2 linked regions of the Lytechinus pictus genome follow. The protein of the gene in region 2 interacts with the protein of the main gene of each other region in a pairwise test. Links are inferred from orthologs where the notes say so. Each region holds a gene or a part of one and is shown on either strand. Other genes may lie near its edges. The genes, in order: suppressor of fused homolog and zinc finger protein GLIS3-like.

Region 1 (17,439 bases), on a different chromosome or scaffold from region 2:
AAGGAGATTAAAACTGTGTTTTGAGTTCAATGCCCCTTTGAGGGGAAAAGAAGAAATATGGGAGAAACACATTATAGGATTAACAAAAATCCAGCAAAGAATAACAGGAATTAAGTTTAAACATTTGATTATTGTGATATCACATGGGAGCTGCCTATTTTCCCATTATATAATGATAATATGATTTATTTCTATTTTATCTTAATCACTCTACATAGAAATGTCTGTGCAATATTCAAGACCTACCTGAACAAAGCTGACAGTTCCATGTGGTGTTGTGATAGTAGGTAATTGAGGATCATCTGACATTAACATATGCTGAATACGAGACTCACTATTATCTAAAGGACTATGCCAAGAAACATGGTCTCCATTACAAAGAGTATTGCCTGTTGAGAAAACAAAAGTACATGTTGGACAAGCGTGCTATTAAATTCACAATTCCGTGATGTTGTTAGGACTGCATCGAGACATGCTTTATCAATATATCCCTGGTGTGTGATATGCATTTGTTATTCCTCTTTTAAATATCACTGTCATTGATAGGAATTTGTAATGTTAATTTATATTTTCTAAGGTTACTTTACGCAATAAAAGTATTAGTAAAGTGAAAATTGCATACACAGCTACGTGGAAAACCAGTGACGTACATTTTGTAAGCATTTTTAATATATGCATATACATGTACATATATGAAATTTTATAATTGTACAGAAAACATCAGGGTGAAGATATCTTAAACACAGATTTGAACATAACTTACTTTTAAGAGGGTGTTGTAAAAAAAAAGAAAAAAGAATTACAATCAACAGCAAGTATGCAAAATTTGCTGTTAAGAGGTGAATTTTACTAAAAGCAAATCACTTCATACTTTCTGTTTCCATATTAAATAACAGAAATTATTGATTTAGGGACTCAAGATTGACTTGTGATCATCAGTTTCTAAATATTGAAATTAAATATCAGAGATTCTTTTTCATAAGAAACTCTAATAAGTAAACAAGATTAAAAAAAAAGAAAAAAATGGATTGAATAAGAAAGATGTTATATCTCACCAGACTGGAAGACATATCTGGCTAGACCTTGCATAAGCTCTGCCGGCCATGTAGGGGGCGCTGTTTCAGTTGGCTCTTTCTTCAACCTGAACGTTAATTCAAAGCCAAAACCACTTGGCCCATTGGGACCTGTAGGTATTCTTTATTTTTAAAAGAGAGAGTTAAACATAGGGATTTTAACATGTAAATCATCACAGCAGCCATATCAGGTAATACATCATATCTTTCCATCTAAATGGATTAAACTTGGTACTTTAGTGTCAAGTAAAGTTTGATCAGAAGTCATTTGATCTAGTCTTTGACCGGTATTTTTTCAACATGTATTATTGATTCTTATTATTTCAAAAATGAAAACATCCTTATCCAAGACTGACATTGTATTATAAAATACTAAGCATTACTTGAAACAAATCTAATGTCCAGGTCTCCATTTTTTTTCTTCAGAAATGCATTAGATATTGTATTTAGAAATTGAGACTTCTACCATTCAGGCAACTCTGATGAAATAGCCTCAGGACAGCTTATATAAAATAACATTTAAACAATGCAAACATTCATGTTTTTTTTTTATTTATAGCCCCTTTATTTGTTATTTCTTCTAGAACTGCATTATGCTCAAACATGCAAAACCATCATGATTATTAGATGTTAACAAGTGGAATGCCTCTGGCCGTCTCACCTGCATCACGCGATTCAATATAGCAGCAGTGCTGATTTTTAAAACTAGTATAACTCGCACAAGATGTTCAGTGATACTTGGTTACTCTTATTTCCACGTTTTATGAACTAGACCAATACACTTATAGAGATATGATGGCAATTCAACAAATACCCCCAACGTGGCCAAAGTTCTTTGACCTTACATGACCTTTGACCTTGATCATGTGACCTGAAACTCGCACAGGATGTTCAGTGATACTTGATTACTATTATGTCCAAGTTTTATGAACTAGACCAACACACTTTCAAATTTATGGCTGTAATTCAACAAATACCCCAATTTGGCCAAAGTTCATTGACCCTAAATGACCTTTGACCTTGATCATGTGACCTGAAACTTGCACAGGATGTTCAGTAATACTTGATTACTATTATGTCCAAGTTTCATGAATCAGATCCATAAACTTTTAAAGTTATGATGGTAATTCAACAGATACCCCCAATTCGGCCAAAGTTCATTGACCCTAAATGACCTTTGACCTTGGTCATGTGACGTGAAACTCATGCAGGATGTTCAGTGATACTTGATTAACCTTATGTATAAGTTTCATGAACTAGGTCCATATATTTTCTAAGTTATGATGACATTTCAAAAACTTAACCTTAGGTTAAGATTTTGATGTTGATTCCCCCAACATGGTCTAAGTTCATTGACCCTAAATGACCTTTGACCTTGGTCATGTGACATGAAACTCAGGCAGGATGTTCAGTAATACTTGATTAACCTTATGGCCAAGTTTCATGAACTAGGTCCATATACTTTCTAAGTTATGCTGTTATTTCAAAAACTTAACCTCAGGTTAAGATTTGGTGTTGACGCCGCCGTCGCCGTCGCCGCCGCCGTCGCCGTCGCCGTCGGAAAAGCGGCGCCTATAGTCTCACTCTGCTATGCAGGTGAGACAAAAATGTGTAAGAAAAAAAATCAATGAAATGTTCTACTCACTCATGAACTCTGCCATCACCAAAAAGATCCGAGAGGCCAAAGCTAACATAGTGCCAATGGGGTGGGATCCCATGACCAGGCTCTCCTGGGTTACTGTACATACTGATAAAGTCTAGTGGGTCTGGTCCATTTAACCTGTAATAGTCAATCAAAGAGAATTAATCATTCAACCAGTTAGGATTATTGGATTCACTACATTGGTATACAGGGGCCCGTTTCTCAACACCGTCATAAGTCTAACTTCTTGACTAAATCGGAGATAGTGAGCTACTTGTCCGCTAACCGTTTCACGAAGCCCTCTTTACCAAGATCGGGTACAACAACCTCACTAAATATTTATGACACCTCCGAACCTGTCATAACTTCTTTCTTAATGACGTAGTGGCATCACGTGGGTAGACTATGACATGCAAAATTGCCTCGAAATTTGAAAATTGTAATCTTACGTAATCATTCATAGAAGTTGAAATTACATTGCAAAACAGGTGTGATAGATCATTCAATAATAATTGCTATGCACAGAAACTATCAAAACTGTTGGTAAAACGCAGCAAAACCACTCATTTTAAAATAGTAAAGTAATTGAATCGATAAAGATTCTACCACGGCAGGTCATCCATAACTGGACTCGTATTCGTCGTTTTCAAACAAAGAATTTGTCAAATCGTGTGTTTCGGTATGTAAAAAAATTTAAAAAAAATAATTTAAACTATATTTTGATGATGTTTGGAACCATAAATAAACGTATAATTATCATTATTTTACAAAGATAACAATTGTGGTTTACTTTCGTAAACTATCAAAATTTACTATCCCGGGGATACCCATCTCATTGTCCCCATGTGAATTTTTAGTCATGAAATGATATATTCATAATTTGATTTTCTCAGCAATTAGATGCTCAAGTCTTCATGGTTTAAGTATGCATGGTTCATATTTTGCCTCTGCTATTATTTTTATTAGATGTATTTCCAAATTAATCACAATAATTGCAGTTTTATCACATTTTTGCTTTTCAAAAATTATGCTATTTTGTGACTAAGGCTACGTCTCGTCTGCTCTTTCTACCGATAGTATCGATATCAAGGGATTCTAGTTAGGAAGCCCTTCGTGAAACGGGTTTAGTAAGATTGGAACTAACTCCGTGGTTGGTGGATAAAGATATGACTAACTTGTCCAGGTGTTGAGAAACGGGCCCAGACCTTGAATACAGTAGCCTATACTCTAATGCATGCAACAATCGTATCATTGAATCAAAATTATTGTTAGATAAATATATTGTTTTGTGACATAACAATGCTAAAATCAGTCAATCATCATGGAATTTAACGGGCTGCTAAACGGTTTTGAAAGTTGTGGGGGGGGGGGTGGTAGCCCAAAGTGGGGGTGCTGACCACATGAAAATTACAATCAGATGGTTATTTTTACGTTTTTATACACATTTATTGCAAAAAGTGGGGGAGGCTTTTGTAAAACCATCCAAACCATGTGACTTTGTCCCACATGCTCAATTTGGTAACTGTTCAATCAAGACTTAAAAATGTGATCTTCCGTCTGTTTGGACAGAAATCTGAGATAATTTTACTTCATTTTCCATTCAATTATCAGAATGAATTATTATTGAAACATAAATTCTGAATTCATTTCAAAGCAGTATGATATGAATTATTTGGGAATATTTTGCAATTTTAAAGGGGTTTTCAGTGATATAACTTTTTAAACATTTTTTTTAAAAGGTAAAATGTACCCGCCCATTTTTTTATATCTAAATTATTTCAAATAATCGTAATGACCCAGCCTAGTCAAATTATTCTGAGACTCTGAACATGAAAACAATGAATTTCTATATCAATCAAGCAGCTGAATTTTACGACCCCAACAAAAAATAAATGGTGTGACGTGTGCTGATCCAATTTAAAAACAGACAATATAAATTATTTACATAACATGTACATATAGAAATTTAATTACAATATATCTCTTTTATCAATTATTTCCTTACTCTTGTAGGATGGTTATTTGGCATTTTCCTATTTTGTTTATTTCATTTAACTTGTGTTTTCTTCAGCTGTTTTACATTTCTGTTGAGTCTAGACTAGAGTTCATTTGCATTTCCTTTCAGCACTGCCCTTGCAGTCTGAACTTAGATTATTTGAGTTTAATGATATTCAGTTGCCATTTATCCTTCTCCACAATGAATTCCTTTCCTCTCATTTTCTTAAATTGTCATCTTCATTCCTTCTCTATTCTCTATTCAGGTGTTCCACTCATTCCATCCCTGACCTGACTCCAATTCCATTATTACATAATCACCCAGATATCCTTTATCATCTTCATCTCATTCCATATTGGTTTATCTTTTGAATTAGGTTCTTACATTTAAGTTCAAACCTTCCATTATCTTTAGTTTGATTGGTTGTTATTTCTAATTTAAATATAAATTTATGTAAATTATACTATCATTCTGAGTTTAACTGAGGCAAAGTGGCCCAGAGAATAAATCAGTGCACTATCAGACTTCTTTGGTTTCTGTTCGATTTATTTGTGTCTTCTACAGTTTCACTTATTTTCCCTTTGGCTGATTGATTGGATAATTTGTGTTTGCTCCTTCGAACTTCTATCATTTCTACCCCGAACTTATAATTTTACACCTTACAACTTGTGGCAGCGGTGGGATTCAAGCCCATGCCATCGAAATGACTGGTGTCAGGCTGAACTTAGGTTATTTGAGTTTAATGATATTCAGTTGCCGTTCATTTATGGAAGAGTTTGCCATCCATCAGGAAGAAACATGGGTATTGCCAGAGGAGTCAACGCATTTGGGGTTCAAAATCAGTCACTCACACTTAATGATTTTGGGCATGATTTCTGAATACATATAGGCCTATGTGCAATTATTCATGAAAACATATTGGTCAAGATTAAGAACCCTTTTTTAGAATGATGAATGGCAACTGAATATCATTAAACCCAAATAATAAGTTCAGACTGCAAGAGCAAGAGCAGTGCTGAAAAAAAATGCAAATGAACTCGAGTCTAGACTGAACAGAAATGTAAAACAGCTGAAGAAAACACAACATGAAATAAACAAAATAGGAAAATGACAAAATAACTATCCTACACTCTTTATTATATTCGCGTTTTTTTTTCCAATTGTAGTGGAGGGGACGTATGTAAGGACCTCTGTCTCTGATTTCGTGAGATGGGTTTTAGCAAGACTGAAGCTAACTCCATGGTTGGGGTATAAGAATAGATATGACTAACTACAGTACCAGTCACAATTCTTCGACTACCTGTTTCAACCGGATAGCAATAGATTCAGTGGACCAAATGTATTGTTCTCTGGTTGAAACAGGTAGTCAAAAAATTGTGACTTGTAGTGTACCTGTTGGTTTTAAATTCAGGTGTGGTGATCATTAAAAAAAAGAAGATTAATATTAGCCGAGTCTGAGAGCTGCGGGCCGGAGCCCGATTGCACGAAAGGGTCTTTGCAAGAATCGTCTTTCGTGTCGCCCATTTATTATGATGCACCATGTGAAACGCATTTTAAATGAATTACCTGCAAACATATTTTAAATTTTTATTAATTTGTTAAAGTATAAACAAAATCTTTGTTTATATTATAAAATGATGTGATAGATCTAGATCTATATCATGAAATCGGATACAAATTGATTTAAATGCAAGCTAACAAATTTTTGTCAATCATACGTTTCACAAATATTCCCCATAAAGCGCATCATAAAAGATGGGCGACACGAAAGACGGTCCTTGGAAAGACCCTTTCGTACAATCGGCCCCCGGGCTCCGGCCCGCAGCTCTCAGTCAGACTCGGCTAATATCACCACACTTGTTTGTTACATTCTCAAGAAAGTATGGCATTATCGTGGTTTATGTCACCAGTCCATTCATTGCCGTTTATTTCGTCAGCGGTGGTGACATCTTTCCACTCCCATTGTCATTGACTTAATTAATAATTGTACACAACGATCGCACACACACCGACACACACGACAAGAGGTGACAAATTTCACGATAAGGCCGCCGAAAGTATAGATTGAATACTCAAAGAGTGGAAATTTTGGGAAAGATTTTTTTAAATTTATTTTACCAGTATTTCACGACGGCGGTCACTTGCAAAGGATTTGGTTGATCAACATACAGCCGCCGACATGCCGAATAGACAGCGTCAAGCCCCGCCGGGAGTGCAGGCACAGGTGCTGTTCCGTGTTCCGCTCCGCTCTGCTGCTGCTCCATTTAAGAAAAGAGATATAAATTAATACGTTAACAAAGCATCAGATGTTCATCAAAAGTGACTTGAGATTTCCAAAATTTCTCTTGAAACGGATGTTCCGAGTTCAAAGTCTAATCCTGTTGATTTTTAGTGATTTTATAACAATTTTAAGCGTGGGATTGAGAGATCCCGTTTAAGGTATTTGGCTGTTGAAATGTATATCTAAACTCCCTTTATAATTTTTGAGAAAAAAATAATAAATTAAGAAAAGATGCAAATATTTTGTTGTCTTTGGGCGAAATTCAATTTATATTAAACATTAGATCGAAAAAAGTAGATTCACTAAAATTTTGAGCATATTTGAAGGAATATTATGTAAAAGAATTAAGGTATATCGCAGTAAAACCATACATGTAACAGCCCCATAGTTTGTAGGCTTTCAAAGAAGGGGAAAAATAAAACATTTCATTGTTAGCAATCAACTTAAATTTGTCGTTTTTCCTAAGTTGTTGAATGTTCAGTTTTAATTGAATTTTCTTAAAAGTATAAATAGATAGTTAATCTACAAATCTATGATAAATAATAATATAATAAAATAGCACCTCAGCTAAAATAACATTTGCGCCCATATTAAGAGCTAACTTTAGTCATTATTCAGTTCCATCTGTGATGTTTAATTGATCGTTTTCCTGGCTGAGTTGGGCGTGTGAGATACATCCCTAAATATGTCTTATGATGTTATTGCAAATCAACCAGTCGTTATTGATAATGTAAGTTTGATTCGTCGACAAGATTTTCATTAAGCTACTACAATGTACCATGTAGATTATGATAAAATGTTAAGTTTTGTATTCTGCGACTTCTTTGCTCGCTGAGCTGAGCTGAGCCGAGTCGGTGACATACCGGTATTGTTGACCGGGCGGTTGTGCGTATGAATGTGTGACTGAGCTGAGAGACTGCAATCCACTGACACCTGGCTGTGTCTGTGCAGTATGCATGTCTTTAATGTGTATCACTGAATTTGAGAGATACAGATCGAGTGATTTACGTGTAGTTGGTCTACCTATAAATGTTTAATGACTGTGAATTACTAAACCCTTAACACAAGGCTCCACATTAACTTTTTTTGGTGGTGGCCCGTTCGGGCCACCAAAACCATCAAATAATTTTTTTTGGTGGCCCGATATTAAAGTTTGGTGGCCCGAAAAATATAAAGAAAAACATTAAAAATTAATAAAACAAACTTCTGAAATATTAATTCTGCAGCCACTACCACTAAGTTACTTTCACTTTATCATCTTGTATTGTATGTAAACCTTGTTTGCTGTTATTTTACTTTGCTAATTGGTTTGTGGTAAAATATAAATTGTTTCTATCGTTGTAAAAATGAAATGATTGAAAGAGAATAAATGAATTTTATTGTTCACAGGTTGTGTGGACTTTTTTTTAATCTCCATATAGACACACACTCATAATGGTAAAGTAAATAAATAATGCATAGCAAACTCAGATAGATGTACAAAACAATGGTTTTTCATTTCTTCCTCTTTGAATCCTGAAATCTAGATTATGCAGGCCCCAAATCCAGTTTATTTCTGTTTTTTCTTTTGCAGCATATTATAGCAGGAGAAAATCACAGAAAAATATGCTGCAAAATTAGAACAATGCATAAAAGGGGGAAACAAATGAAAATAATTTTCAAAAAGTATATTACAAAAAGAAAACAAAAATAATAAAAGAAATAAGTGAAATAAAACAAAAGAAAGAAAATGAAGAAAGAAAAAACAAAGAACAGGGAAAAAAAAAATTAGAGAGAAAAAAAAGAAAAGAAAATGAAAGAAAAATGAATTAAACAAAATTGATATAAACATGGGGAAAAGGGGAAAATTAAGAAGCCATTACGAATGTTTTTTTAACAGCTGTGGCAACAGTCTATTCTGACTGGAATATAATTAAAAGCCAAGCAAATAATTTTCACTTACTGTACCTTCTGGGAATGGCACATTTCTATTTTTATATCCTTTAGTTTGTATTATTTAATTTTCAGTAGAAACATATTTTTTTATTAGGCATATTCAATGGGAAGGGGTATAAATGGTTTAACCACTGTAAAAAAAATGAAAGAAAAAAAATAAGAAAACGGCAAAAGTTATATCTGGAAAAAAAGTGTGACTGTGGGAAAAGTCCTTCCCTATATTTGCCAAAATGTTGGAAAAATTCACATTTCATATCGATGAAATGCCTTCCCAAAGTATTTACTTTCTCAAGAGTGGTTTAAGAAGTCATTTATAAACAAGAAAGAAAGAAACTGTCTGTTCATGTTTGGCTAGAAAAGACACAGCTTCGAAAGAAACCAATTATCAACATACATACAAATGCACATGTGGGACTGTGATGTACTTGCCTATGTGTTTTTATGTGTATTAATTCATTTGGAAATCGGTCTTTTGTAGTCAAAAGAGAGGTCATAATTCCTCTTCTTAATGCTTGCAAATAATCAGGGTACACCAAATTTTCGTAATATAGACTGTAGAATGTCATTTCATTGGTGTAAAATGTGACTTTGACTTAGATTTTCAAAGTTCTGTGGAAGATTTCTTAGCAGCAGCATTTTTTATCGCAGCTCCCAGAGTCTGAATAGGCTGAGCTAGATCTAGAGCACAGCTGTATGCAGTGGCTTCATGCAAACTCACGCCAGCTGGCCGGCGCGGCTGGCTGGATAATAGCTACTGTATGCTATAGCTGTAGGCCTAATATGCAAACTTTGAGTGTGTGTATTTGTGTGTAGATCAACAAAAAGGGCGCATGACGAACTGGCTTGCAATTTGAACTGTAGAATGTTGATAAATGCGTGCAAAATCGGGAGAAAAATTACGCTACTTTGAAAATTATTGGTTGCCCGATTCGGGCCACCAAAACTTAACATTTTATCAATAATGGTTGCCCGAAGTGAATTTCTGGTGGCCCCGGGCCACCGCTAATGTCGAGCCTTGCTTAACAGTATACAAATACTAACCTCGTACTAGTGTGAGTGGCCATGATGAGACATGAGCGCGATGGTGCGAGATTTTGCATGAGGTGAAAAAGAAAGATGCTCTATTCAACGAGGCGTTAGCCGAGTTGAATAGAGGGCCTCTTTCTTTCGCTAAATGCGAAATCTCGCACCATTGCGCAAATAAGAATATTCTTTATTTGTGTTGTACAACGCCTCAGAATTTAGCGAAAATAAGAAAAAACAGAGTTTTTCCCTGCAGTAATCAATGAAAAGGGAGCAAAAATATTGAAAGCGAAAAGCAAAATCCCACATGACCTTGCCCTTGGGCAGCATTGCGCATTTAGCCAGCAGGCTTAAACGCGTATTGCATCTTCATTTTTACTGAGCACAATGAATTAAATCATATTGTCGTGATTGTGACATCACCTAGTACAGCCTTGCAACGTTACATTTTGGATGGTACTTCTTGTGTGCAACGGTACGAATGTTTGACATTCAGCCTCGTACAATCGTTGTACAATCAGCGTTGTACAATCAAAGCTGATTAAGGCAGTGAGCCATATTGTACAGCACTCAAGCAGAATTTGGGTTGTGTCTCGTAAGACTATTTTGATGAAAAATAAATTAGACTACATTTTCTAGAGCAAAACTTATAACGTAAAGCCAAAAATCAAATAAAGAATAAAAGGATTAACGTGTCTGTGTCATCAGCATGATCAGGGTCAAGGACCTGTCACTAGCCAGGAGGCTCCTAGAGAGTAAAAATCTTTACTAACGTATGCTTACTCTCTACGGAGCCAGGGATTCCATCCCATTCATCTGTTTGTACCGCCAAAAAACCTGAAACTTTCTACTTATAAAAGATATAGGGCCCTAAATCATGTAAATGGGATACAACTTCATTTCAGACATTTCTATGCTATCGATTTTATTATAAAAGAGAATAAAAAAATGAGAAAAATATGAAAAGACGGGAGACTTGCCCGATGTTAACACCGCCATCTTGTTTCTTATTGTTCTTCGCCAACGTTACGGACGTTTTTACATAATAGTTTTGTAGGTACCGTATTTTTCGGAATATAAACCGTGGCCATGTATTAACCACACCCCCAATATTGGGAGGCTAAAAAAAAAAATTGGCAAAGTGAATTTGATAGCATTTTTGGTTAGCTAATTTCACTGAAAATCTATGAAAGATCAAAAGATATATTACTAATTCTTGTATTTAAAAAATGGTTGCTTCATTCTTTAACTTTATTTTTCAAAGAATATAAATTATTTCTTTGTAGAATAAAGAAAAAAAGACCATGAAATGGCAGTATTGAATATCAATTTTCTCGATTGGCCACTAACCCCACTATAAATCTGTTGTTTTTTGTTTTTTTAGGGGGTAGTCCTAACTAAAGACTGAAGTTTTAGCTTTTATTGTTATAAACTAGATAAGGTATTTCATTTGGTCTTAGTATATAATGCGAGCACGAAGCGCGAGCTCAAATATATTATGTCCTTAGACCTGAAGATTCTGAGCAGTTTTTATAATTATGAACAAAGGTAAGTATCCAACTTATCAATGCAAAATTTTAATATAGTAACGTGATAAGGGACTCAGTTAGGGTCGACTGTTTTTAGTGATTAATTAAGAGGATACAAGTATCACCAATTAAATAATGAGAGTGCGGAGCGCGAGCTCAAAATGTTTGATATTCCGACCTGAAAACTGGACAGTCTAAACACGTTTTTATTTAGAACAAGCTGTGTGTCTCAAACAAATGCGAGCGCGAAGCACGAGCTTAAATTTTTTATATACTCACATGATAAAGGGGCATTTTGAGAAATTTTGGTAAGAATTTCCAAAGAGGATAGGTATCTCACAAATAAAACAATGCAAGCGCGCAGTGCGAGCTGAAAATGTTGGTAAATATTAACAATTTGTGTAAATCAAACAAAATAATGAAAGCTGGATATGCGAGCTAAAATATTGTGTGCAAATTGATTTCAGAACTGGATATATTAAGTGTCATTTAATCCTCTTGAATGACATTCATTACACAGGCAATTAATGCGAGCGCGAAGCGCGAGCAAATTTTTTTTATGTAAAGTCTATTTTCCAATTCTTCCCCTCACCTTTTTCTTGTTTCCTTTCGGGGTTGGGCCGGCTGTTACGAGGCTGTAAATTACACATCATGGGTATAATACCTCTTACTTTTCTTTCTGTTTTTCATCGTTTCTCTCAAATTAAAGAGTACACTTTTTTCTGCAGGTTGCCAAAAAAATAGGGGGGCCGGGTCGGCCCCCTCCTGGATACGCGCCTGTTTGTGTATTTATGGTGATAGTTTGATGAATTGTATGAGAATGGATCTATTTTTTATAATTGTGTTTAATATAATGGAATTCTTGATATGTGTTAGGTAATAATAGTAATATACAATCCACTACTATACTATTACTAACCTAGCAGATATGTAGGTCTACATGCAGACAAAGGAAAGACATAAAGTGACAACAGTTCAAACTGTCTAACTTAGATAAAGTATCAATACCTGAAGCGAAGAACTGAAAATAGTACACTAGAACTCCTTCTTTTTCTGTACGTGATGTGATGTGATAGGTCAAAGTCTACATTAAAACTTGCAGCTGTGCATGTACCGAAAATCTGAAATGTTGACAGAATCGGTTCAGTTTCATACTGGGGCATCTAATGTGCTTCATGTCATAACTTCTTGTCATATTTACGATTAAGAATTTATTACATAATTTATAGATGAATATCGGAATATTGAATGTTTCTACTAATTTTATCTTAATTTCATGCTTTGGTGCTTCAAGAAAAAGTGTGACTCATATGATATAAATACATGTAGGACCTAATTTTCAGAAGATAAAATTTCTAAGATGATAATTTTGCAACACATTAATGTTTCAACTAAACTTTCAACCAGAAACTCATTATAAGTTTAGAGACATGCTAGCAACCATCAGAGCTGCCAATTAGTAGGATTTTATCCTTTTTTTTGTATTTTTAAGGGGAAAGTGACACTAAATAGGATTATTCCCCTCAAAATAGGATTTTTGAAACATGTATTAAAAAATGATGATTTTTTTGGTATGTTTTTCCAATAAAACAAAACTAGGATTTCAGGCTAAAAAAATTCACATTTAAGATTCATAGCTCTGCATCTATGACCATTTTTAGATTCTATGGTCATGCTGATGTGTCTCAAGAACATTTCCAGACTAAGAATATTTTCCTTAAGATATAGATTAATTTTGCAACATTGATCAATATGATAAAGCTTCACCTCAAAACTCTTAAAGGTATATATTCAACCTTTTCAGCAAAGATTAAGATACCGGTATATAACTTACTACTTAAAAAAGGGAACATATTGTAGTACATGTACCTTTTTCAAGATACTGTTTCTGAATCTGATGACTCTGACTGTCTAAGATTCAGGGCCTTCAGGGGGGGGGGGGCACTCAAATTATATTTTGATAGGGGCGTGCCTCACAAAACCCAGAAATGGGGGTCTAATGAACTGACCACAAAGGTAAAATACGGCCATCTTGGGATCTAGATATATACCGATCGGTGTGAAAAACGGTCTACAGAACGGGATCGCAGTACAGTAGGTAAGGTGCATACTAGTGCTATGTATACGTGCACAAGCGGTGCATAGAGCTTTTAGCGGAGGAAGTTGTGAAGCCATGCATACAGCTCTCCCATGCGGTGCTCGTGCTGGACAATTTTGGCAGGGCTAGGGAACTGAGATGTTTCGTAACGGGGGTCTTGCGAAACTTTTGTCATTCGGAGTATCTAGAGAACTGAAAATTAGGTCTGAAAAAGGGGCCATCAAAGCGGCACATCCCCGTACCGCCAATATGTGAGTGCCCCCCCCCCCCCCCGGGCAGGGCCCCCTTTAATACATAAAAGCTACTACATGTATCATGGTAACCTTGCCATCCAATGGCAACTTTCTTTGAGTCCTTGATTTTGATTGGCTGATTAGCATTGTTACCATGGTAGATACCATTGGATGGTAAAGTAACCATGATAGTAACTAGTAACTTTTATGCAACAGGACCCAGACCTAGAAATGCCAAGAGAGCTCCACCCCATGGTCAGCTTGCTAGTCTTCTTCTTCAGCCTGCAGTCCGTACCTGTGAAAGTACACAATGCAAAATTGGACAGTAACATATTATTATTGTTTTGTAATTTATCAATTTCATTCCTTTAATTATGATTTTCAAAGAAAAAAGGTCTTACTGCTTTGTATAAAGGATATATAATGAAAGCTGTCATCATTTAAAAATTGCTTCTTAAACTTTGCTGGCATCTTAAAATAAAATGTCCTCTTTTAATGAATCATTGAGGTATCATTGTAGGTAACTATCTTTCTACCTTTTTAAAATTAGAATTTTTTGAAATAAGAACTTCAAAGCCATGTGATGCATGTCGTCCTCAACAATACCTTCAGGATCTTTCGCATGTCAGACACTTCATCATGTCCTTGAGCAGTCGTGTTTACTTCACATGCAGACAGTCTTCCAAAAAAGACCTTTGCTTGAGCTGGTCTTCTGCACGTTCAGACCTCACTACCTCATCAAGGGCAAATTTGTTTGCTTTCATGCACCGGGAGATTCCTTGTGAAATTAACTGTTCCTTGCTGGAAAAGTTTTGCTGAGAGTTGAGAGTTGGTACATGTGGGTAGTACCTGTCAGAACATCACTCGACTCTGTGCATTTTTTATACAATGCAGTGTGCACGTGATGTTCATGGCGCTCTTTAGGTTGAATAAATTGTCACTGCACGCACCGCCAAATAAACGTCACATATGTACAAGAAGGGCAGTAATTTTTTTTTCTTCCCTTTTTTTTTTAAAGGATGCTAAAAAAAGAAGTCTGGCATTTCAAGTTTTCCCATTTGTTTCTGGATTGTCCATTTTCAATTCACACAAGTACGAGTACCAAAGTCCAAGTACGATTTGCGTTCATATGGGATAATTGTGCTGGCACTTGTCGGCTTGGCTTCATTCAGGTCATCAGCACGGCCTTCTGCTCCAAGGAATCTGGCTTCACTTCTCTAAGCTAGCTGCGCTGGCATTGGTGATTGCTCATGAATCTTTCTTGATCTTGCTTGGTAGCATTCGTTTGTTTGTTTTTTATTACCTAAATCGCGCATATTTATCATTCCATTTTCTGTTAAAACTCTCATTCATGACTGCATACTTACTCCCATTCATGAGTGTATACCGTACTTAATTCATTATTCAGTACTGAAACTGTAACACAACATACAATAATTACAATCCTTATTGTCATATTTGTATTTCAATATTTTTCTTCTGATTGCAGGGCTCTGGCGTTATCAAGGCGGGATTCGCTGGTGACCAAATTCCAAAATATCACTTTCCAAACTTGTGAGTAACTAATTATAACTTTTAAAGTGTAAATAAGAATACGAAATTCTCATCACATGCAAATCTATACCAAAACAGTGAGATGATGAGCTTGAAGAGAAAAATAATGAATTGAACATTAATTTTTAGTAAACAGAACATGTTGCAAGGTAATCAAATGTCATTCTCAGCCTGAAAATTATAAATAGAGTCATTGGAATTTATATGCAAATGGATGTCAGGTAAATTTGAAGAATGCAGTTACATTAGATTTCAAAGGTATGGGATATAGTGTGTGAATTCAATTGTTCAGAAAATAAGTGAAAGTTAATTATTTTCAGACTGAGCATTGGTTTCGATTACATTGAAACGTGCCTTGTTCGTAATATAATGTCACGTTCTATTCAAGATTTTTGTCTACAAATATAAGTGTCTGGGAATTTTTGACACCTTTTCATAGTGATAATTCAACTTTTTGGTAATAAAGCTTTGGCTTCAAATGATTATAAACTGTATCCAGTCAAGTGATACATTGAAATACTAAAGACTAAAGAGCATTGAGCTTGCTCATCATTTGTTTGAAATGTCAATAAAGGTCCATGCATTATACCATGTGACAATGAGTCATGACTGTTTACTCTTTCAGTCATTTTGTACTCTTTACAGTTCACTAGTCTTAAAGAAAGTAATGCGAATGTGATGTACATTTAATTGATTTCACCCTCAACCCCCCCCCCCCCGCCCTATTCCAGCTGTTAAGGGGAGGATTGACTATTTTTCCATTGCAAAAAGTAATCTGAAACATGTTTTTAATAAAAAGGATGAGATTGGAGACTGGAGTGATTATTTTTGCCATCTTGTTGTCAACGTGTCATCTATTGATTTTCTCTTTTGCGTTCGCGTTTTGTTTCAATTATTGTATTTAAGGGAGGGTTTGACACTAGCAGGTACCTTGACCATCAGACTGGAATATCAAATTTCTACTAAGGGATTTATCATTTAAATGGGGTCTTCGTCTCCATTGCACTTATTTGCAGTGAAACTCTCACAATTAGCATAATTAATTAGTAAAGATATTTTTTTGCAGAATTTGGTCCAATATATTTGTTGATTATGCCATGGGTAATGGGCATGCCAATTTCGTCATGATCGCACGATCGATGGCCGAGATCATAAGGGGGGTATGATTCAGCCCCCCCCCCCCCCGTCTCCTTAGGCGTCGAAATAGCCCAATCTATTTAGGGTTAAAGGAGATGGTTGTAAACAATATATGCAGAATGGACCAAGAAAAGCGATAGACATCATTGCTCTATTCCCCTTCGTCTTTTTGCAATAAAGTTACAAATGAACATAAATTGCAATAACATAGTTGCCTCCCTCAGCTCCCTTATCACTGTTTTATTAAACTGAGGGAACTAAAAAGTGCCATGAATTAATCTCAAATTTCTACTAAATGATATATCATTTAAATGGGGTCTTCGTCCCCATTGCACTTATTTGCAGTGAAACTCACCTAGCTATATAGTGTCCTGTCATTGCTATGTTCCCCTTTGTCACCAGCTCAGCCGAAACCATACATGTACTACTGATTAAATAATGTTATAAGTTCTGTTTTATTTTTGAAGTGTTGGTCGACCAAAGCATGTACGTGTCATGGCAGGTGCCCTAGAGGGCGATATATTCATCGGTCCAAAGGCGGAGGAACATCGAGGTCTTCTTAGTATCAAATACCCCATGGAGGTATGTAGAAAACATATCTGTTAATCAAAGCTTTGTTCAGATTTATGAGTATGACTCTTAAAAAAGAATTTGATTGGCCCACGGGTAGTAATTACACAAGAGTGTTCTTTTATAAGTGATTAAAATCAAAGTTATGCAAGTCATTAACAACCAAAAAACAAAAACCATAGAATTATATTAAATTATATTGAAATATTTAGAATGTTCAATCAGATGTTTCAATGTTGATGCTGTGTTGTGAATTTTCTGCTTGGTCATGTGGCATAATGTTGATGTTAAAAGGAAAAAAAATTGATTGATAGGAAAACCCCCGAAATGCAGTTTTTGTGGGCCGCCCAGCGTGCTGGAAGGCACAC
Region 2 (17,302 bases):
TCGTGCTTGATGATTAAGCATACATGTATCAGGGACAAAATTACACAGGGGCTAGGGGTGATATTGCCCAAAGAGACCTGGGGGGTGTTGCACAAAAATTTAAGTGTGACTTAGAGTCGCACTTAAATTCCCAGTTGCGTACGGTATAGAAGACATCACTACATTGGTCAGATTATGCGCATGGGACGCGCACTACCGCCTATCCATCAATCTGATTGCGCATTAGATATCATGTGCACGTCGGCATTTAAGTGCAACTCCAAGTCATACTTAAATCTGTGTGAAACACCCCCCTGGAAATTGAAAAAAGTCCTGTCAAATCCCCATTCACTGTTAAGCTTATCCACTGTAGCAGATTCAGGCAGTAAGTTGTGAAAATTAGCCACCAAATTTTTTTTTTAAATATCATTTGTTTTCCCCTGACATATATTTATTTTTTCACAGGTTTATGAAATATTATGTCTGATAAGTGATATGGTAAAATTAATGCACATTCTTGCAATTCATTATCAAATAAAATTGCAACAATTCATGAAAACACTGGAAAAAGGCACACATCAGACACCATTTTAAAGTAGTTGATGTGATAACAGCCAAAGATATCCCCATTTTCCATAATCTATGTCTTTCAACATGTATTTTAAAATGTCACATTCTACCTTCAAGTCTTTAAATAATTGATGTTAATGCAACATAAATCAGCAAATCAAATCAGCAAATAAACGACCTCTTGGGGGAAAAACACTCAATTCTCCTCCCAGTGCTAACGCCAGGCTCGTCTGTCTGCTTCGGGTCAAACATACTCTATAAATTCACACCCCAACTCTTGGTGCACTCATAATAAAATATGACCCAATCTTGACTCTTTTTCTCTCTAAACATTTGTAAAAGTTATGAAACTGCAAGAAAAACTCACACCTCTGAATAACCTTTCTAGCTCCCTAGGCTCCCCATCCCTTAAAAAAAAGACCAACAAATGCAGAAGGGAGAAATATATGTTGCTTTCATCAGACAAAAATATTTGCACCCTTGGGGAATTTCTTTCCTCTTTGCCAAGTGATGTAGTTGACTTGAACCTGTGGCAAAATCTGGAGTGATTCATGATTTAAATACATGTGTCAGCAAAGTCACATTTTATTCTCAGTTAAGGGTAAGGTCGTATTGCAGAGGAATTAAGGTAAGTCCAACATAGGTTGCAAGAGGACCAGTGAAACAAGTTAGGTAATTTATCAATGTTTTTGTTTTGAAATTTTTGTGTAAATATGATGAATAAAGACCAAGCGACTCAGACGATATTTGGTACATGTATGCTGATTCATTGGAATTTCGAGAAATGTGTTACGTGCATATTGATCTGTACAATTGGATATTACCATTTCTTTTATATTTTGTTTGTCTCCATTTCTATATTTCTTGTTATATCTGTATCATTTTCATTTCAGTCAGAATAAGATATATTGATCTGTTTTACATCTAAATATGAATTATGTTTCATGTTCTTTTCCTGTCAATTTCATTGCATTGTGAGAATGAATTTAAAATGAAATGAACGTGATTAGAAAAATTAAACTAAGTACAAGAGGCCCCATAGACTAAATGTTGCATATTACTGTTATCACCATTAAATGACAACCTTCAATGCAGATACTACATATAATAGCCTATTTCAACAAATTAACATAAGACCTATTAAAAAACAATTTTTTTTTATTTACTCTTGTAAATGTGTACTAGCTTCCTAGCCAAATGGAAGATGAAAAATTAATACAGTATGACAGCTTTTGCAGTATGGTAGTCTTTGCATTTGTAGATGAGATTAGATTGTCCTTGACATACCAAAAAAGAAAAATAAATGTTATTCAAACATTTTTTATGGCATGCATGGGAGGATTCCGGATGCCGCTATTCTCTTCACAGTTTCAAGAAGCTTGATTCGAGACAACCTCCCAAGTCCCATGAGCGCACCCCTAACTCCCTACCGGTAGGATAAGGATGAGGAGGAGTATGGGAGATGCACAAGAGAAGAACATAATCTGAATGTGACATCTCGGGTCAGGGGTCACAGGTCGCAAGGTCAAGGTAAGAGACATCTGATAAGACAAGACAACATCTTTATTTGTCTTCACACTTTCAATCCCGTGTGTCCTTGCTCATCTCTCTTCACCCAGAAGTCATTTTTTCATTACCACCGCCATCTTCTTCTTCTTCCAGTTCCAGATGCTTTATTATTTTTTGCATACCTGGAGGAGGGGTGCAATGGGTGTGGACTGAAAAGCCAAGTTCAGTAGCCCAGTTTGAGTACATCATCTATGATCTAGCAAAAGACCCAAGGATCACGCAGGCCTACGTAAATGTATGCCATTGTATCTGTCATGTTTGATGTGTGTGTGTAAAACTTGTGGCTGAATGGCTGGGGAAATAAGGCCACATAAATGGGACATGAAGTCACCCAAAGTATTTTTTTATTTTTTCATTGAGCTAAAATGAGGACATCCTGAGCTCAAAAACAATATATAACTTGGCACATTGATCAACCCATACAAGTTCTTGATTGAATGTAGAAGAAATTTAGTGAGATCTTCAACAAATAGGGAGAAAACAAGGTTTGAAGTTTGGGGTTATATTTGCATAAGGTGCATTCACTGTGAAACTTTCAAGTAGTCAAGAAAAACTCCTGTATCTCGCCAATTATTCAATTTTACATCTTCAAATTTTGACATTATGAAGATGAAGAGTTACCCTTTCATGTAAGTGTATTTCAAAATTTACTTTTTGGAGACCAAATCACTATTTTGGCTATTTACAGAGAATATTCCCTGGCAACTTATTGTTGGTTTTGGAGTGGCTTGTCACACACATTCTGTGTCTGTACAGATGCTGGAGAAAGACTGTCATGATCGAAGAGTTTTGGACAGGTGCGAGCTTGGCGGACTCAGGGTCAAGGTCTAAAACCTGATGACATCACACAAGGACTGGTCTAGCGCTGACCCAGTTTCAGAATGAGAGGGCAAAGGTCAAAGTCACGGATCTAAAGCTTCTAACCATTGAACTCCATCAGGACAACGACCATGGTTTAAATAATTCAAAGACAGACCCAGTCGCAGAAAGCTTCGCAATGGATCATGGGGCAGGTTTTATGATTTATCACTCGAAGCAATCAATCATAAAAATAGCCTCACAACATATCATTAGGCTCTATGTTATAGAGCCCTGTACTGAAAAATCATATCTAACTCAAATGTATTGCTTTATTTTATTGTTTTCTAGCTGTTGTAAGGACCTTTTAACTCACTTTATTTGATCTCCATAAAGGAGAAATAACATCATTTTATTGATATAGATAGCATTTGCAAGACATCTATTTCACTATATTAAAGGAAATCTGCATGGAACAGAAAAATTGAGATTATAACATATCAACATTAATTTTCACGAATTGAACTTGTATTTGTGGTCCTAACAGTAGTTCTCTTTGAGATACATATATGTTTTTTTTTTAGCAGAGCAGGGGAAATTGCAAATTGCAAACTAGCGAGGCATCGGGCACTGGCGCCAAAAAAGGGCAGTCGATTTATGGCAAGGTGATAAACTGACAAGCAGTGAATGAATGGAAGGACAAGACAGCTCAGATTCGAGAAAGAATTAAAAGAGTTTTCATCTTTTCAGGAATTTCTATTTCTGTCACATCTGAGCAATTCAACAGATGGTGCAAGAAGGTAAGGACCCTGGGGAGAGGGTGCACAGATATTAAGATCAGCTGAATTTTATGATTTCCGCAGAAAAGCCCTGTAAAGTCGTCCACTTATTATGAGTGAAGAGAAAAGTTTACTCGGTAATCGTATCTACTGACTTAGTGATTGTTGCATCGATTTTGTATCTCAACCATCAGAAATACTTGGGCAAAATTTAATTTGAAACATTAATGAAACCACAAGAACAGTGCCAGCCACACAAAAAAATGTTGTTAGCCTAACAGTTAGCCCAGTCACATCTTTCGGGTTTTGAAGACAAAACATTTATTTCAATGTGTAAGTAATGCATTGTTGCAACATTAGGCATCGCTGCCACATTACCGGCTGTATTAGTGTCTCTGTTAGCGCATTGTTAGCGCTAACAACGTTTCTGTGCAGTCAGTACAGGTTGTTTGTATTTTCTAAATGGTTCCTCTTTAAAGAATGAAACCAATTTAAAAAAAGAACACAATTTCTTATTTCAAAAGTTACCTGGCCCATCTTCATGCAAAACATTAAAAGATGTTTCATTTGGTAAGGTGTTCTAACTTTTTTTTTTTCATTTGGATGTTTGTCCTTAAAATGGCACATATATCGAGAGAAGTGTTATTATTTTTCCCAAAATTACAATGAAAGTATGATTGTTTAGAAATCATATTTCTTTCCTATTTGAATTCATCCTCCTTTTGAGTATTTTGTTTTAAGAAACAAAGCTTATAGAAGCAAAGTATAACAATTTCTGCTGCTTTATAACAAATAATTAACCTTTTTGGAGGCAGAATTATTCCTTTAACACTGTGACAGGTGGAATAAAAATTGATTAAGAAGATGGCTTCCTCAATGAATCAATATTCTGAATAAAGATGAACCTTATCACAGACTATATACTTATATGCTCAAATAGATACCTGTGTATTACATCGCAATGTGCTCCACATTTTTAATGACCACTATGAAAACTTCCCTCATGAAGCAATTTCTATATGTAGGACTACACGGAACATAGTTGACACCTTTATAATTAAAACCAGAAATGCTAATCAAATTTGAGAAATAAAAAAAAATTCTAATCTAAATAATATCTTATTTTTGGAGAGAGTAAAATATACAGTATTGTGCCATGTGAAGACTTGTAATCAGTATATAAGATATCAATTTCATGTAAAGACAAGGTTAATTAGTTGAAGTGTCTACTCACTGTGCATTTATTTGGTTTTTCTCCTGAATGTACACGCATATGAATGAGAAGCTTATAGCGAGCGTTGAAAGGCTTGAAGCGTCTCGTGCATCCCTGCCAGAAGCAAGTGAAATCTTCCCCTTTCCTCTGGTCGATATGCACCTTCTCTATGTGCCTGACAAGTTCTTCTTGCTCCTCAAAGAATGCATTGCAGTCGATCCACCTGCATATCTTCTCCTCAACCTCCAAGCCGAGTTTGGGGGTGGAAGTGGAGATGGGGGAACCGTGGGGGTTGGTGTTGATGATGGGGGGCGAGTGGTTGGCACTGGACTCATAGTGCTGGGCATGGTAAGGTGGAGGAGGGGGCATGTTGGCCGGGAGTGGGTGGGTGGTCATGGTTGGGAGGTGTCCTGGTGCCGATGCATACTGACCAGGGACTGGAGGATTGTAGTTGCCCTGAATGGGAGGATAGTTGTTGGGTGGGTAGGTGGAAGGCTGGGTGAAGGTGGGGTTCTGTTGGTATGTCTGAGAAGTGGAGTAGGGTTGGTTTTGAGAGAAGGATGGACTTTGCTGGGGGTGGGTCTGCGGTGCGTGAGGGGAATGCTGAGGCAAGGCTTGTGGTGGGTGCGGGTGCTGGGGCGGCACTTGGTGAGGTTGTTCCGCACTGGGTTGGAACTGTCCCTGAGGATATTCCTGCCCTTGCGAAAAGCCTGAGGTTTGGTTGAAGCCTTGCTCGATAGGCTCCTGTTTGTACACCTGGTATTGGGGGAAGTTGTTTGAAAATTCTTGTAGAGCTTCCTCCTGTGGCTGCACAATCAATTGACTGTTCATCCCTGTTCCATTGGTCATGGTATTTGTGCTTTCCATGGCTTGCATCTGCTGCGTCACGATCTGTGGGTCTGTGGCTGCATAATGCTGTGGCACCTGCTTTGGCTGTTGATAAGGAGGAGGCATCTTGTCTCCATTCACAGATCCAGCTGCAGACACTTGGATGATCCCAAATGAAGATACCTGTGACATGGGACTGCTGCTATTGCGAGCAGACAGGTGACCATAATCGCCTCCCGGAAAAACCTGGAACGGTGATATTGAAGCAGATGACCCTCTTGAACTGTTGATATAAGCCACCAGGGATGTTGGACTAGTACGGATTAAAGAGTTCAGATCTATGCCTTCAGCGGAAAGGGGAGACAGAGACAGTGCCCGCTTCCTCGAACCCCAGGCAGAGTACGACCTCGCAGAATGTCTAGGACTTGCAAAACTGGAACCTGATGGTGAGATTTCAATGGGGAATGGGGAGAGGGAGTTGAAGCTGCTGGCGTAATGAGACATGGCTGAACCTGGTGGCATCAGAGTCTGGTCAGCAACGTCACTTCCTGCCTGAGATCCTGGCCCACCACTATGTCCTTGACGATTGCTGCCCCATTCCTGCTTCACGTCAAGGAGATGGTGTCTGTCACTGGATGCGCTGGTAGGGGGATGGTGTCCTCCTTCCTGCCCAGGATTCCGAGGTGTAAAGCGGATACTGGAGATATCACTCGCCGTTGGTGACATGCTCCTCTCAGACGTGCCCTGCCGGTGATGAGTTGTATTGTTGAAGCCCTGCTGCTGGTTCTGGTGGTTTCCTGGCTGGCGGAAGCGGTTCTGTCTGAGGGTGGTACCTGGTACAGCTGGGCTGGGCATCGACTGGGCATCATTAGCATTGGTGATGACCACTTCCATACCGCCATATCGTCCATCTGCAACATAAAAAGGCAGTCGAAGAGAAGAACATATTAGAATCAACACCCAAAATACTTCTGACATACATCATATTTCTGAGCAAAGTCCACACCAAGAGTCTACATGATTCTCAAATGTTTATAAGAGTGTCTTATCTGAGAGTCAATACAATTATGAATTGTCCTATCAATCCGGATCTGATGATATCAAGATCAAAGATCAAGAAATGCTTTGTATAATGGTAAAGGTATGTGAGCATTTCATAAAGGACTTCATTCACAAGTATGATATTCATATCTCAACAATACACAATGATTATTGATGCCATGGCAAATTCGGTTTCAAATTTATTATTAAAATTCATTATTTGGTTTAAAAGTGATTATTAAATGCTTAGTTTCCAGGGTAAAAATAATTACAATGTATTAAAGGGCTCAATAGAAACAAAGTATTAAGCACTACATAAATGTAAGTATTATTATTATTAAGTCATCAAATAGCATATTACAATCCATTTCAATATAATGTCAGAAGAAAGTGATATACTTCAAAGTAATACATTTTTTAAGAAGAATAAAGTTCTATTCACTCCCTCTTAGCACATTTTATTTCCCATTTAGACAGGATAGTATTATATCAAACAAATATCCATAGTGCTGAATTCTGAATGATGCATACACCATTTATCTCTCTTGCATGTATCTTGAAGAATAGAAAGGTTCTTAGGAGGGGGGGGGTGAACTGGTATCTGTACACCCCCACCCCACCTCATGGGCAAGGAAAGTCAGTTATCCTCCCATCCATACAATTTGCATGTAGGCCTATACTTCAGTCCTTTTTTAAAAGGTTCCATGACATTTTTGCTCCTGTGACAATTGCTCTGTTTGAAAATCTGCACATTAAGCAAAACATGAAACCTAACCTCCAAAACTAGATAAACCCTAATCTTATACCCCTTTCATAAACCCAATAAAACCTATCCTCCAATTAGCCGCCTAAGAGTAATGCAGATAATTCAATAAAAATTGCGTTCACAAACTCCGAAAATTATCCGCATTATTTTTACGAGCGCCCGTCCTCAAAAAGGCGAATAATCGTCATGACAACTGGACACACCCCCTCCGATGCGGTTGTGTTGGAAAAGGGTGACCTTGTGACCGCACCATGGCAATTATCCGCATTATTTGGAAATACGTTCATAAACGCAAAATCTTGTCCCGATGCCGCTATTATGCGGATAATAGCAGCATCAGAATAATGCGGATAACTTTTGTCCTCCTCTGATTTTACGACCAAATTATGCTGCTATTAGCCGCATAATTGGGTTTTATTGGGTTTATGAAAGGGGTATTAATCTTTACATCATTCTAAACCAAAAGCTCTACTACAATCCTAACTCTAACCCTATGCCTTCTGAGATATTAAGACAGGAGCAATTGTCGCAGGAGCAAATTTTGTGTCACCATTTAGATAAGTGTAATAAACATTTTGACCAGTGCGAATTCTTGAAAAAAATAATCCAGACGGCGGGAAGGGTGGGGGGGCAGTGAAAATGTTGTCAAACACAGGAGAGAAAAGGAAAATAAAGAAGGGAAAGAATATGAAGAAGAAGAAATAAGGTCAGAGGAGAAAAAAATAATTAGAAAAAAAGGTGGATGGCAGGTGCTTTTTAGTGAAAAGACCCTTTCCTGTACATTCTGCCCATTGACTACAGTATCACCACAAAATTCTCTTCACATTTCAAAGCTCAAAGTCAATGTGGCTTCCTCAGTCACGGGAAAAGGAATAACTGGTGTAAAAATTTTCCAATCAAGTTTAATATTACAGCCTTAAAATTGTTTTAATGCTGCATGTTTAAAGCTCCAATAAACTTTAAATGTATAATTCATTTTAACAGTGAATGACTATTTTTGTTGAATGTACTGCCAAATTTTGACAACTTGATAACAAATTATCAACCCCATCCAATTTGTACTTTGTTCTTCTCTTTACATATTGTTAAATCTTTGAAATATCTTCTCTCATCTCAATTTTCATATCTCTCCATTTTTCCAACATTCTAAATTCAGGCAATGCTTAGGGGAAAAAATAAATCTCTCCAAGGTGCATGCCCCTGTTTTGTGCATATGTGCTTTCTCTAAAAAAATATGCTACATAATCTCAAATCATATTTTCTTCTATATTTTGCAAACACCGGATAATGATTATGTTTATCGTGACACACCTTGTACGATGGGAAAATGTACTACATGTATAACTTGAATCACTAATTGGAAAGAAACATTCTAAGTATGTAGAACATAATTTCGACAATATAAAATTGTAGATAGATCATAGAGTTATAACTAGGAAAAAAATCATTTTCTGGAGTAAAGTATTTAGCTATCTCATTTTAAATCCAACAGCTAACTGAACTTCATTGGGGTCTGTATACGGCCAAATGACTACAGTAGGTGGTTTCAAACCACCTTGATCACAAGAATCCCCATTAAATTACGAGAACATGTCTAGGCTAAAAAATACCCATTTATTATTCCTGCATTCACACCGCCCCGAAACATACCCTTCGGGATAAATTCCTGAAGTTAGGAGCATGCGCAGTATGGTCTAATAAGCAAGTAAGGCGCGAGATTCAAAACCACTAGCCCAGCAGCCACCCACGGCGCCCGCGCCCAATGACACGCTGGGCTAAAAGTTCCCGTAAATTGCTTTCACATTGCCAAAATACCTGCGACCTTGGAAAAATCCCCGCGAAAGTTCTCGTAATTTCCCCAAGTACCTACTATTTAGCGGGTATTTTCTTTCGGGGAAATTACGCGTAGTTTACTTTCACATTACCAAAATACCTGGTATTTTCTGATCGGGTAATTTCCCGATCAGAGAATACCTGGAACTGACAAACTTTCAGGCAGTCTGAAACCACCTTATGTCTAACCAGGGAGTTGTGGTCTGGCATATAGGCCCTCATACAGATCAAAGCCAACTTGCAGTTACTTTATACATGTAGTTCATGGTGCTTTCGACTTGTAACTACTTGTTGAATAGAGATGGAATCAATATTTACTAACTTCACAACTAAACATTCTTTCATAATTCCAGATCATCAATGCAAGCTTACAGAGGTCAATATAGCATGCTTTCAGGGATCGTTTAAGTCATCATTAAAAACAATCGATAAGTCGCATCAGATACACACTAAGAGATAAGGATGGCTGACAAAAGGCTGACGATCTTTTTTCGTTACACAGCAGGGAGTGGGGATGGATCGAGCCATACCTGGCTATAAGCAGCATGACATTTATCAATCATTCACAACTCCACTCCCAAGAGAATATGGATATTGATCTTAAAGCTACTCTCATACAATAAATAAACCACCATAGAGCGCAGATCTAAATCAAGATAAGAATACAACTTTTTCGACTTGCTACCATCTCATTTTTGGTTTATTTATCTGTATTTTGTGAGGCAGGAATAGCATCACCTAAGCTTGGTTTCAACATAGTGTCAACAAGCTGGAAAGCTGACATAGCAAACAGTTCAATAGAGTTCCATCTTTACAGAACCTATGGGAAGGGAGGCCCAAGCACATAAAGAATACAAGGGAAAGAAAAGACCTTTGAAGATTTTTAAAAATCTGAAAAAATGTACAACTAGCCATCTCCCTATTAAACCCATCTTTAGAATGGCTTATTTTATCAATTCATTATTACTATAGGAACTAGTTTCCACACGCTTTACCTCATATCTGTTGTAATACAACTATGAAACAAACAAGTAAATCAGAGCAATGTCAGTCGCATGTCTCAAATCTAGACCAACAGCAGAAACATATTTTTTATTTATTTTACTTGAAAAAAAAAAACAATTCATGGAATTTTGAACACATGACATAATGGAGGAGCAGCTTGGATGTGACATCAAACTAAAACTTCAAAAATCTTAAAATCATTTTGTTATTCTCCGATGGATTTATATATCCACACTGCAAAAACTTCTGTGTTGATTTTACACCAGCCTGGAATCTATATGTCCACACCAGAGAAGTATTGAAAAAACACCAGTTCGGAATCAAACCGATGCTGTTTTAATACTAATTGGTGTTGTATAAACACCTTTCTGGTGTTAGACCAAAACGAAACTGGTGTTGTTTAACACTTCTCTGGTGTGGACATATATAGATTCCGGGCTGGTGTTAAATCAACACCGGAGTTTTTGCAGTGCATTATCGTTACCCGTTTCTTACATTTTTCTGCTTTTATAAAAACGTACTTGATATAAGGGTGAACTTCCCCTTTAAATTTGAAATAGCTCAATCAGCAAAGGCACTTGGGGGTGAACTTCATGATGAGGCCAAGAATCTGATCATGGGGGTTTCTTTCCAAAAGGAAAACATTTTTTATCAGGGAGAAAGGGGATATCACAACTACATATATGAGTTCTAATCTCTTCAAGTTACAAAGCCAACATTCCCCCACATAAACTGTTAACATAAATATTATTTCATTTGGTCTTAAAATATATTTCATATGGATGAAATATTTAAACAAAACCATCACTTTTAATCATTTTAATCCATTCAGAAATATTCAAATTGCTTGATAATCTATAATAGATTATCTCCAAAACATTGAAATTAGAATGTTATCTGTTTCTTTAAAAACAAACAAATAGGCCTACACTTTAGCAGAATGTCAATAAAACTTAACTACATAAATTGTTTGAATCAGATCAACAAATTGAAGGGACAATCATATAATTATTGTTTTTTTAATGAAAATTCCAAGTTGCATTTAACAAAAAAACAAACAAAACAGATCTGGCAAGGTGCGTGGCCATGTGGCCTAAGGCACCCAACTACACCATGAAGTCCAGGGTTCAATTCCCGGCTGGCAATTGCCCAAGGCATTTTTATCTACAGCGCTCTTTTATCTTGCATCAAATAAATGAAAACGTATTAATACCAACATGTGCACATGTTTTGTTTTGTATTTTTCTAATTGTTCAGATCTAAGAATTTACCAATGAAAAGTGGTTTCAATGGATCACACCCGAAAATAGCCAAAATTTCTTCCGACATTGACAGGTAGATCCAATTTTCTAACTGTTAACAGTTATGCTAACGGATTAAGAACCACAAACTCTAATCCTCTCTGGCTTTCTTAATACCCCTAAAGCTGTCCTTTTAAGATTGTGAACAAATAAAGTTGTCACACCTGAAAACACTCATCCCATCTTGAGGTGGTTGGAAGTCCTTCAGGTGAGGAAGCCAAAACCTTCAATAAGTCACTCCCCAAAAGAAGCTCCTTAAGGGACTGAATATGGCAAATTTCTCAAAATTCTAAAAACTATCACTCTTAGAAGTCAAATAATAGAAATCCTTGCTTTTACAACTATCTTATGAAGAGAGGGGGGGGGGCATTCTAAAAATAAAGTAAAAAATCCTGATCAGACACTTTCCAATTCACACTTACTGAAGTCCATGACCTGCCCCCATTGCCCAAGATTTCCCTAATTTCTCTCTCTCTCTCTCTCTCTTTTTTTTTGGGGGGGGGGGGTGGGTAAAAATTAACATAAAACTGTATTAAATGGCTGTCTTCACTTGCTAAAAGAAAGTACTCAGATGAAAAGAAATCCTTATAAGAAATCCTTATGCATGATCCAGACTACTTTATGCATCAATGCTTGTTTCCTAACATCAAAACCATTAACATCATCGGAAATTTTGGTAACACCAGATCATAAATGCCTGAAAGTTTAAGCAACAACAGGACTGATAGGCTCTGCTCCTCTCTGAGGGACCTGATGAGAAATAATGTTTAACCCACTGGAGACTGATTGATTTCACTATAGCACATGTTTTCCATTGACTTCAGCTTGCATATATGCAGGCTCAGTGTCCAATGGGTTAACCAAAGAACATCTACACAACAAGAACAGTGTAAGGCCTATAAACTACAAAACTCACCAAATATGATGTCATCTTTATTTGTATATAGAGTATCCATGACAACCATTGCAAAAACGTTACTAGTGCATGAAATCATTAAACATACAGAGATGTTGTAAAATGAACATGAATGTCTGATTGTCATTAGCAATCTAATAAAACTCAATCCACGATTGATGAACAAAAATGAATTATAATCTAGGTCATGTTTTATGTTCAGAGCAGCACAACTGGGGCATGAATAGAGTTGGGCGAGACGCTCGCCAAATAAACAATCCAGGAGTTTTGATGCCATTCAGGGCAAGTTACGAATAAAAAAGTTTCAAGTTTTATGGACACTGGGAGAGACAACCTGATTGGCCGTGAAATTGAGACACCAAGACCTTGAACACAGACCACTAAACCAGTAAAAAGATAAAACAGATGAGACAAAGGTGTAAAAGAGGTGGATGAAAAGAACAAATAACTTGACATTTGAAAGATCATGATAAACATGGGTGTCATATGAATAAAACAGATAAGCTCTAACTTGTATAGCGATACATCAATGTGAAAGAGAAATGAAACATATAGGCCTACAGTGGTTTCATGACAAAGGCTCCGGTGGCAATTGCTCCACTGCAACTTCCACACATTAATCGAATGACCAACTTCAACCCCAGAATTAACAATATATACCTTATCCTAAACCTATCATAAAACCCTATTACAACCCTAACCCTATATCTTAGACGAAATAAAATCCGGAGCATTGTTGCCGAAGCAAATGTGGTGTCATCCTTTTAACAACTCCTCATGTATTTCATCATGCTTACATATTCTGACAAGTTTGTTCCTTGTGTGGACTTGTGTTCACATCTTACTGATGATCAAACGTTTCCCTTTCCCTAAATAGTTTCTTTTCATTTTGGCATTCTTTTCTTTTCGGCATTCTATTCTTTTTGTGAGAGCTTTGATATAGTCTAGTAAAAGTGCAATGTGATGAAGCGGAAAATCCTAACAACACAAAAGATGGATCGATAGAGTTGCCTTAAAAGAATTCTTGTAGTAATTAGGAAAGTTTTCTGGAAAAAAAAGTTTTGGATTCAAGACACTTCCCCCAAGCTGACAGTAGAATTTATTCTATATTTATTTAAACAGTACAATAGATGAGTTAGAGTTGTGACACAAATCACAAGAATGAAATGATGACCAAATGATTGTATTTATAGTCTGGATAAATTAATATCATGTGCCAAATGATTCTGATATGAACAATTTCTCAGCACTTGGCAGGATAAGCATGGGTTTCTCAAATCAGACTGACATTTTTCTACTTCAGGTAAAATATATTTCCAAGTTCAAAATAGATAAAAAATACTTTTCTTAGCACTAGTACTTGCATTCTTGAGTTTTATTTATCTTACTTTTTTTTAGTAAAACAATTGGTCATTTTATAGTGTACAATGTTAACTTACTATCTATCTGCACTGAAGGCAGAGACTCCATGTTTCACTGATTAAGAGTGCAGTAGTGGTGAAAACCTGTCACCCAAATTGTGAAATTATCATGTTGATGCGGTTCACCATGAAATCCATCCCCTTTCAACCAAGATCCCAAATAAAGGATGAAGCCATACCGCCAGATGCTTTCTTATTTTTGCTTCTTAGATCTTCAATTGATTCATAGATCAAAATTTGATTGAAGCATGAATTCTTCTGGATGACCAAAGGAACAAGATCCAAGCTCAAGGGAAACACCAGAGGGGTCTTCTTCCAAATTCTTCAAGGTGATCCAGAGATATCCACAGATCCACTGGACAAACAGAAGAGAAGCATTGGTTTGAAGATTCCTTGACACCTAAGAAACATCATCAAGAATCACCCATCAACACCAAAATCTGCAAGTCCTGATGGCCTGGTTGGTCTTTGAGGCAATTCAAAGCAGTACCAGCACGTCTGGCGAACCTTTGAAATCTGGAAGGCTGGCATTACTAGTGTGGAAGCAGACGGTATTGGAAAGCTAGATGGGCTTACATGTACTTCTAATATCTTTACAAACTCAAGAAATGACCGCACTGATGAACATTTGCTTCATCTGGATATACAGAGTATGTTTTGCTCTCAAGGGGGAAACCTGGGATACAGTGCTCTGAAAGGGATTCAGATGACAGAAACCGTTTTCAATCACTAGGACACCTTTTGTTCTGAAATGTATCTCTCTCTTTATTCATTTCAAGTGCTCAACTGGTTGATTTCTTCTTTGGGAAGAATCGGTCGAGCAGGTACCCATTATTTCTTGTAAGATTAAAAAGCTACTGTCATATCCTTCTGCTCAACAATTAAGCATGGAACACTTACAAATTGATGCCCAATAAACATTAATACGCCAAGGATCTTCAAGTGTTTACTGCTTGAATACATACTCCTCCCCAAGGACACCATGTATACCGTCAATACTGGCTTAAGCCATTCAGTCCAGTTATATTTGGTGAATGATAATCTCTTTTCTTGCAGATCGTTTTCACACGAGAGTAAAAACCTGAATCATGAATACAATAGCAATTCTATTATTTGAATAACGTATAAGCTTAAAGGAAGATAGCTTTTGCAGTTGGGCAGCCTATAGTGAAGTATTTAAAACTGATTATTTCTTTTGCCACTAAACCAAAATAAAGAAATAGATGCATTTACAAAACAAATTTCTCTTTGATTTGAAAGTTGTCATAATGTCTATCTGTCTTTTTAGCCTTTTTACTTTGGTCACGATCCCCAAATCGCAAACCAAAATCATCTGCTAAAACATGTTGGTATTTCATTATCACCAAGACCATAACAGTTTTAGGACACGGGGGCGAACAAATCCATAGGGCATTGTGACAACGCAATTTATTCTGGGGGTGGGGGGATTAACCAAAACTTACTTAAGAGGGGCTTTAATCTCATCGAAATCTACCTTATAAACATTAACACCTCTATTTTAATGTCAATCTTACTCTAATTCAGACAATTATATGTCAGTTTATAAGAACATTAGAATGAAAGAAATTTGTTCATTGTGAAGACATTACCACTTATAAATTACACCAAACAAGGAAATTACTTAGAAAAATATTTCAATCCGACTGTGCTCAACAATGAACAATAGGGCGCAATTGATTTCCATGCGCTGAGCTGAAAGGGGAGGGTCGCTGAGCTGAAAGGGGAGGGTAGGGTGTAATGAGTGGTGGTGGAGTTGGAAGAAAGGATTAAGATGGCATCAAAAAAGAAGGGGGTTACAATTTAATCAATAAGTGGGACTTCGCCTGCCCCCATTGTCTCCCAACATGCAGCTCCAACAGAGCACAATGGAGTAAGAAAGGGATGACATAACAGAAGGGGTAAACATCAGAGGCTTTATTAACCCCTTCTTTACATGGTTGGTTCTATGGATTCAGGTTAATGTAATGACTGTGCAGACATGGTGTTCAGGGGGTTAAACATGAAGACGTAAGATGGTGATGAGTTCAAATCAAGGACACCCATTTTCAATAGTATAGCCAGAAGTAATTGATTTTCACAATTCTCTCCTCTTCAACTGATTCACTAACTTCATTATATCATGTACAACATTATAGAATTCTATTCTTTGCAATACTTCTTGAACCAAAATTCAACCCCCAAACCAAAATTGTCCCAATGTGAAAAAGAAGAATAGTCCATAAAAATAAAATAAGAATATTTCCTACCTTAACTCCTACTGATATTCAAACTCATCAGGATGCATGTACGAATTGACTTTTTTTCTTGGGGCTATTTTGTGTACATTGGGGCTACCTATATGAGTATCTTGGGGGCATTATTCTTTATACTTACGGGGTTACTTTAACATGGACCTACTTGCTTTTAGTCAGCAATTATTTGGGCCTATAATTTCCTTTGGCATTTGTACTATGAAGATTATGTAATTTGTATAAATACATATGTGCAACAGTAATAAATTTTGGATTTGTTCATGTTTAGATCAAACTAGCGATGTTCATTTAACACCAATTAATATGAACAGGCTATCCAAGTTTGGCATACTAAATTCCTGTAAACAAGACATCTCAACGTGCATTTGACATGATATAAAACAGGGACGTGAGAGCTGGGGTGATATACTACTCTACTCCAAAACATCCTTGTAATCTTTTAAATCAGTGGCCTTAAAAGCTCCCAACTGTCTATCCTAAATTGTGTCGCAAATTGTCATTTGAAACTTTTCTCCTGGAATACATTGGAGTAAACAACAGGTGAGTACATACCATGCTGTGCTATATATAGAAGCAATAGATTGAAGCTTGCTATATAAGGAGAGAAGAAAGTCATGGATTCTTTCAAATAAGAAAATAAGGTCCGGTTTCACTTGAACTAGGGCTGGCCTGATCGCCATGGTAACTTTTGCGTGGATAGGTGGAAATAGGAGAAGGAGGGGAATCTATTTTTTGGTCTTTCTTTTCTCTCTTTAACAAGGTCAATCGACCTAAATCAGAAGTGAGCTATATAGGATTAGATATCATTGGTATCATGAGAGCTTTAACATAAATAGTTGGTACATGTATTTATGAGTTCCTTCTCCTTAACTTGAGACTATCATATATTTCAGGCATGGACTGGCACACTGAATGAAAGGGAGAATATAGCAAGATGAAAACATAAACTTTGCAAATACAAAACGAACATATGACAAAAAGAGCAAGACTGCATAAAATAGGACCTGCAT

Evidence for each region.
Region 1: the proteins of zinc finger protein GLIS3-like (region 2) and suppressor of fused homolog interact in binary tests that used the Homo sapiens proteins (3 or more experiments, as listed by UniProt). The link is inferred for Lytechinus pictus from reciprocal best matches to the Homo sapiens genes GLIS3 and SUFU.

The regions. Positions count from the first base shown.
Region 1 is NC_087256.1:13,528,984-13,546,422, forward strand, and holds the start of suppressor of fused homolog, read right to left. Parts: upstream 7,179-17,439; 5' UTR 6,976-7,178; coding exon 6,830-6,975; intron 2,854-6,829; coding exon 2,719-2,853; intron 1,196-2,718; coding exon 1,056-1,195; intron 390-1,055; coding exon 247-389; intron 1-246. Other genes in the region: alpha-centractin, read left to right, coding at 7,678-7,722, 15,300-15,364, 16,969-17,083. UniProt on the Homo sapiens protein: Negative regulator in the hedgehog/smoothened signaling pathway. Down-regulates GLI1-mediated transactivation of target genes. Down-regulates GLI2-mediated transactivation of target genes. Part of a corepressor complex that acts on DNA-bound GLI1.
Region 2 is NC_087255.1:18,581,279-18,598,580, reverse strand, and holds the start of zinc finger protein GLIS3-like, read right to left. Parts: upstream 6,659-17,302; 5' UTR 6,631-6,658; coding exon 4,930-6,630; intron 1-4,929. UniProt on the Homo sapiens protein: Acts both as a repressor and an activator of transcription. Binds to the consensus sequence 5'-GACCACCCAC-3'.